Macaca fascicularis: one gene and its partner. The protein of the gene in region 1 purifies or fractionates together with the protein of each later gene. This does not show direct contact. Links are inferred from orthologs where the notes say so. Each region holds a gene or a part of one and is shown in the gene's direction. Other genes may lie near its edges. The genes, in order: SIKE1 and STRN.

Region 1 (3,829 bases):
GACCTATTGGGTGATTGATGCACTGGACATAGATAATTTTCAGAAATGAAAATAACATTGCTTGCATCAGATCAGATTTCACCCACAGAAATGACTAAGGCCTTATCAGAGTTGGCATTGGATGAAAACTTAATCCTTTATGGAAAGGGAATCATCTGGCCTTCTATTTCTGAAATAGACTAAAGATTACTCATTTATTCTCTGCAATTACAGCCATCAGATCCTTTGAAATCTTGGAAGGCGTGAGAAGATAACATGACTGTAACACAAATCCATATCGAAGAGCCCAGTATTTAAAAATTCCCCATGTTCACATACTGAAGGGTTACTTATGAGCTGATGCATATCACTGATAACCATAGGATTATCAACTTGATGTCTGGGCAAAGAGTGAAAACAGAAAATGCATTCTACTCTTCACTTCTTGGTTTTAAATATAAGAAACATTATATATTTGTTTAAAAACTGTATCCCTGGCCAGGCGCGGTGGCTCAAGCCTGTAATCCCAGCACTTTGGGAGGCCGAGACGGGCGGATCACGAGGTCAGGAGATCGAGACCATCCTGGCTAACACGGTGAAACCCCATCTCTACTAAAAATACAAGAAAATTAGCCGGGCGAGGTGGCGGGCGCCTGTAGTCCCAGCTACTCGGGAGGCTGAGGCAGGAGAATGGCGTGAACCCGGGAGGCGGAGCTTGCAGTGAGCCGAGATCGCGCCACTGCACTCCAGCCTGGGGCACAGAGCAAGACTCCGTCTCAAAAAATAAAAAATAAAAAAATAAAAACTGTATCCCTTAGTAATGGTATCAATAGAACATATACAACTGGAATGAGGATCCCCTTAAGGAGGCCTTCTTTTTTTTATTTAAGTTCTAGGGTACATGTGCAAAACGTGCAGGTTTGTTACATATGTATACATGTGCCATGATGGTGTGCTGCACCCATTAACTCGTCATTTACATTAGATATTCCTCCTAATGCTATCCCTCCCCACTCTCCCCACCCTACGACAGGCCCCAGTGTGTGATGTTCCCCACCCTGTGTCCAAGTGTTCTCATTGTTCATTTCCCACCTATGAGTGAGAATATGTGGTGTTTGGTTTTCTGTCCTTGCGATAGTTTTCTCAGAATGATGGTTTCCAGCTTCATCCATGTCCCTACAAAGGACATGAACTCATCCTTTTTTATGGCTGCATAGTATTCCATGGTGTATATGTGCCACATTTTCTTAATCTAGTCTATCATTGATGGATATTTGGGTTGGTTCCAAGTCATTGCTATTGTGAATAGTGCCGCAATAAACATACGTGTGCATGTGTCTTTATAGTAGCATGATTTATAATCCTTTGGGTATATATCCAGTAGTGGGATGGCTGGGTGAAATGGTATTTCTAGTTGTGGATCCTTGAGGAATCGCCACACTGTCTTGCACAATTGATTTTTTGGAAAAAAAAAAAATTATCTGTGAATACCACAAGATCACTTTACTATGGCTTTATGTCTAAGGACTAAAATTATAGTGAAACTCCATTGTAACTTCTGTATCATAGATTAAATGAACTTTTAAAAATCATAATGCACACACTTTTATGTTCTTTATATAGAGAGAACAGGTGACTTTTCCACCTTTGTTTCCTTAATATCTTCACAGGAAATTGAGAGTCAGATTGACAGAATCTGCGAAATGGGAGAAGTGATGAGGAGAGCAGTTCAGGTGGATGATGACCAGTTTTGTAAGATTCAGGAAAAATTAGCCCAATTAGAGGTAAGATTGTAGCTATTTTAGGTTCACAGTATTTCAGAGTTTTCGGAGTCTGGAAGATATGCCATCACTATCCCATCACTGTAATATATTAATGTTTTCTGTGTGCTCATGATTTAAAATTAAAACTCCTCCTTCATACTCTTTGATATCCTTTTGAAGAAAGGAAATATAGTAAACAGCAATCAGTGGAAATACCAACTATGTATTGGCAATAACTTGAGATATTATAATGGGAAGGTAGAGGGAGTAGAGGGGAGAAGTTATATGTGAGATAAAATCCTTCTTCTGCCATAATAAGTGAAGTAGATAATGTCTAAAATTAATGATCAGGAAATAGCAGTATAAGCATATTATTTAGAATTACAGAATTAAATACCAAAAGAAATAGATAAAAGTGTTAAAAGTGGTTGCATTTGGGTTACAAAGCCAAAGAACTGCTTGTATAAGCCTTGTAGTCTTGATTTCTTAAAAGCTATGTTAGGTCATATTTTGATTAAAATAGGAATATTTTAATATTCCTATTTTAAGGGAGCACAAAAAAGGGTTTGGGGCATTAGTGTGCTCATAAAATTGTTAAGGATTTCAACTTTCGGAGGCTGAGGTGAGTGAATTGCTTGAGCCCAAGAGTTCAAGAGCAGCCTGGGCGATATGGCGGGGACCCTGTCTTTACAAAAAACATACAGAAAATTAGCCGGGTGTGGTGGTGTGCACCTATAATCCCAGGTACTCAGGGGCTGAGGTGGGAGGATCACCTGAACCCAGAAGTCAAGACTGCAGTGAGCCATGATCATGCATGCCACTGCACTCCAACCTGAGCGACAGAATGAGATCCTGTCTGAAAAATTAAAAAAAAAAAAATGAAGCATTTCAGTAAATGGTTTGTGTGCTGCTTATTACAAGGTACTGTCCTGGGGCCTTTGAGAAATACCAGAGAGAAAAACACAGGTACCTGCCCAGAGTCTAGTGGAAGGGATAATCCTAGTATCATATGATATTAAATAGTATGTAAATGCTAGGAGACAGATACAAATACTGAAGATTCATCGACCACAGGCTCTAATCTCTTAGTTACTCTAGCTGGGACTTCCGCACATCTTGGTGAAGCTAAAAATGCTTTGGTTTACCAGAATTTTCTGCAGAGAATAAGGATGAAGAGCGGAAGCTACTCTCTCTAGAAATCAAAGGTAGTGACAGGTCCCAAGGAGGAATTAGGAGCTAGTGAAATGATAGCATGACCTTCTATTTATCCTCGATTTACCTCACTTATGGAAACAGCCCTAAGGAAATGTGGGACAAATTCTACCTTAATACTTCAAGTAGAAAAAACATGACCACTAGATTCAGACCCCAGTAATACCACATCCAAGTTGTCTGAATTTGGACAACTTTTAGGAATTTTGTGAGCCAGAGCATCCTCATGAAATACATGGATGTAGGCAATGATACCTACCCTACAGATCATTGTGAGATAGCATATACAGGGCACCCAAGTAGTACCCAGCTACATGCTCAATAAGTAATTTCTTTCCCCCTTTCCTTCCATTTCTCTGGAACTATAAGATATCCAGGAGAGGAGATTAATCAGAGTGAAACGATTATTAGGAATTTTTTAAATAAAAGAAATAATAGTAAAACTGTGGGAACCATGAAGAATAAAACATAGTGAATTCCTCAAATGGAGAGGGACCCTGTTTTTTGTTTCTCCTTTGTAATTGTAACACTTGGTATATAGAAATTACTCAGTAAATTACTACTACAAAAGAGTATCATTGCCTACATCCTACATGTAAATGTTTGTTAAATGAATAAATAAGTAGTATTTAAGGAAATTCTCAACTAGTGGGTTTTTTGTTTCCTTAAAATTTTTTAAATTAAAAATAATGTTTTCTGCTCCTGGCTCAAAATAATGTGTTGTTGTAATGCAGCTTGACAGTAAATATACCAGAAATAAACATGCCTTTTTTTTTTCCAGCTTGAAAATAAGGAACTTCGAGAATTATTGTCCATTAGCAGTGAGTCTCTTCAAGCCAGAAAGGAAAACTCAATGGACACTGCTTCCCAAGCCA
Region 2 (3,829 bases), on another chromosome or scaffold:
CTCAAGTGATCCGCCTGCCTCGACCTCCTAAAGTGCTGCGATTACAGGCGTGAGCTACCATGCCCAGCCACGTTTTATATTTAAATAACAGGCTGGGTAATTACCTGCCACTATCTTTGGGAATAAACTATCTTCAGTTTTTAAGATGTCATATTTCTAGGAGCCACATGAAAATTCTGTAAGATTAGACTGTTTTTAGCTGTATTTTCTATTATGCGAATATAAACTTGTAATACCTATTCTAGGGTTCAAAAAATTTTTAAAACACTTTATTTTGAAATAATTTTAAACTTGCAGAAAAGGTACAAAAACAGTATAAGAACTCCTGGCTACCCTTCACACATATTTAGCAGTTTGTAACATTTTGTCACATTTACTTTTTCACTCTATATATGTGTATAATTTTAACTTCTGAACCGTATGAGAGACATCATGCTCCTATCCCCTAGATCCTTTAGCGTGTAATTCCTAAGAACAAGGACATTCTCTGATGTAGTGTATTACAATGATCAAAATCAGGAAACTTAACATTGACACAATACTATTATCTGAGTTACTATTTATATTCAAATTTTGACAGTTGTCCCGGTAATATACTTTACAAGGATGTCCCTTTCTCTCCCTGGACCATAATTTAATTTTTAAAACTTTGACATACCTTCAATTAGTGTTTTCTTTTTGTCAGTGTTTCTTTTCTCTTAAAAAAAAGCTTAACAGAAATCACTTAGGTTTTAAATTACTGATTTCTTTTTAATAAAACCCTTTCAGGAAGAATGTGTGATCATTTAGGAACCAATTTTGGCAGTTGTGTGATCTGCATGAACCATCAGGTTGGGAGAGAGTTAGAAGTTAGAATAGGTACTGATATTGTCACCTGATTGTGGAGGAGTCACAACTTTTTCTGGACCTTGATGTGTTCACTGTAATATGGGCTTGATATGTGCTTTCCTATTGCATTGTATATATAATTGAAGTTTCTTTGGAACTTACTAACAAAAAATACAGTTAAGATGCTGACTTTTAGGATTCCAAACCTGGTTCTGTCAAATGATGACCATTTCTATTATGATGAGGAAGAGTGAAAAAGGGATTTAAGGATTAAGAAGCTCTCTTTGTCATATTTATCTTTAGATGATAATGATGTGATACAAAACATTGTATGCAAAAAGAGCTGAGATTTAAATTTGAGAATTACCTCCCTGTAAGTGATGATAGAACTTACTTATACTAAAATAGCAAAATCTTACAGAACGTTGTAGAATGAACAGTGTTAGTGGTTCTAGACTAAGCCTTAGGTGGCACCCACATATAGCAGGAAATTATAATTTATAAATATTTCCAGATTTATCAGTATAGTATAGCTCAGGCAATTCTCTTTCCTAACATTGAAATTTTGAAAACAATCACAGCATAAATAAACTAAAAACAAATAATAAAAGTCACATTATTTACTTTTTCTTTTTCTTTTTCTTTTTTTTCTTTTTTCTTTTCTTTTTTTGAGACAGAGTCTCGGTCTGACACCTAGGCTGTGGAATACAGTGGCACAATCTTGGCTCACTGCAACCTCTGCCTCCCAGGTTCAAATGATTCTTCTGCCTCAGCCTCCTGAGTAGCTGGGACTACAGGCATGCGCCACCACACTCGGCTAATTTTTGTGTTTTTGGTAGAGACAGGGTTTCACCATGTTGGCCAGGATGGTCTCGATCTCCTGACCTCGTGATCCACCTGCCTTGGCCTCCCACCTTGCTGGGATTATGGGCCTCAGCCACCATGGCCAGCCTACTTTTTCAGTCTCTTAGGCAGATAATTTAGTTCTTCTTTATGTGAAAAATATCTTTGACTAAATTGTGTTGCTTTTTAATTTTTTCTTTTTAGCAGCCAACTCTTCCTGCCAAATAAATAGAGTCATCAGTCATCCTACTCTTCCGATCAGCATCACTGCTCATGAAGACAGGCACATCAAATTCTATGATAACAATACAGGTAAGAACTTACTAAGAATTGATTTTTATTAAAGAAAAAAAAATCCCTACCACAAGTAGGCTAATTTTGGTGTTTGTTGGTGGTTTCGTAGTCAGGGAATAGGCACTGAAACACAGATACTCTCCCGGCTCAGTTTCTCTTCATTCCATCCAAATCTGCTAAGACTAGTACAGAATCATTTTGGTTTATTTAATAGTGAGCAAATGCTATATGTAGGCTTTAGAGCCAAGGTTATCACTAGGGACACCAGGAAAAATTCACTCAAATACCAATAAAAATGATCTGTTACTGTGATCTGTTGTAGTAGTATATGTTGGGGAAAAGTAGAAACATTGGAAATAGAGGCATATGGTCATTATGTTGTTCAATTATTGAATAGCATTATTCAATATTCAATTATTCCGTTATCAAATAGCCTTTTTTAGTGTTGCAGATGGAAAACCTCCAGGTCATTGTATTCGTTTTTCCATGGACTAATATTTTCTGTGTTATAAAACTGACTAGTTGGTCCTCATTGATTTGAATTGTGCATGGAGACTTGCCCAAGTTTTATTTTACTACATTTCACCAGTATAAAGGAAATTTAGGAAGCGTTGTGCTGGGAGGAAAGCACCGTATATTAGCTGCCATATTTATCTAAGTATCTGCCTTTAACATGTTGACTTTTGGTGACTTTGTTTAGCTGCTGGTGATGAATATTTAATGTTTAAAATTTTTTTCTATATGTTGTATCCACCAAAATTATGGCCATGTTTTCTTTCTGTCCCTTTTTCCTTGCGTCATTGTTTTCTCTCTGTGAATTTGAATTCTGTGTTTCCACAACTCATAAGTTGCCAGTAGCTAAAGAATGCAAAGTAGGTGATTAATAATGTCTACGTTCTAATTAACAAATGTGGCTTAAGGGGTGTGTGTAGAAATTACTGACTTCCATATTGTGGATTAAAAGACAAAAGTGTAATCTAAAATTTGAGCTTTTTTGGTTTTCCGTGTCATTGCCATGACTAGAGGCAAGAGGGGAGACATGTTGTTTTAGTTGATGGAAAAAGCTGTTCATACAGTAAGCACACAGAGAGGGATGACTGGAGACACCAGCATGACATGGTAACTGGCATATATAGACGATGAGGAAAGGCATTAATAAGGAATATCCATCTCTTTTTCCAAAGGCAAACTGATCCACTCGATGGTAGCCCACCTAGAAGCTGTTACAAGTTTAGCAGTTGATCCTAATGGCCTTTATTTGATGTCTGGCAGTAAGTACCTCAACTGTGGATTATTTATTTGTCCTTACCATTTTCATGTTAATGTAATTTTTCCTTTCAATTTTTTTTGGGTATAGGTCATGACTGTTCAATACGTTTATGGAATCTAGAAAGTAAGACGTGTATCCAAGAATTCACAGCTCATCGAAAAAAGTTTGAAGAATCGATTCATGATGTAGCTTTCCACCCATCCAAATGCTACATAGCCAGTGCTGGAGCTGACGCACTGGCTAAAGTCTTTGTATGACGCAATGTATCATCTTCACCTTCTAGCTGTTTATAAGTAATCAACTGCACAAAAGAGATACAGAAGACGAGGGCAAGAATCAACTCGTCCTGCCCTTTTGTTCTGCTGAAGGAGCACAGAGAACATTTGTTGAAGTATAGTTTTGCAATTCATATACTGTTTTCTAAAACTAAGGTTTGTTCAGGTTGCTGCAAGCTCAGCTGAATCTGTGAGCCTGAGGTCTGTTTCAAATTTCCCCCAATAGGCATCTTTATTTCTGAGGTTGTTCTAATTCGCTAGGCAGGCCTGAGCGAATACAAGTTTAGCTTGTCCCTGTTGAGTAAGTAGGGCATGCTAC

Evidence for each region.
Region 2: the proteins of SIKE1 (region 1) and STRN purify together in Homo sapiens (affinity purification with mass spectrometry; 4 studies listed by BioGRID and IntAct, with this or other methods). This does not show direct contact. The link is inferred for Macaca fascicularis from reciprocal best matches to the Homo sapiens genes SIKE1 and STRN.

The regions. Positions count from the first base shown.
Region 1 is NC_088375.1:119,594,788-119,598,616, forward strand, and holds part of SIKE1 (suppressor of IKBKE 1), read left to right. Parts: intron 1-213; coding exon of another isoform or gene 214-246; exon of another isoform or gene 247-389; intron 390-1,649; coding exon 1,650-1,763; intron 1,764-3,735; coding exon 3,736-3,829.
Region 2 is NC_088387.1:85,336,999-85,340,827, forward strand, and holds part of STRN (striatin), read left to right. Parts: intron 1-1,875; coding exon 1,876-1,983; intron 1,984-3,149; coding exon 3,150-3,236; intron 3,237-3,322; coding exon 3,323-3,492; 3' UTR 3,493-3,829. UniProt on the Homo sapiens protein: Calmodulin-binding scaffolding protein which is the center of the striatin-interacting phosphatase and kinase (STRIPAK) complexes.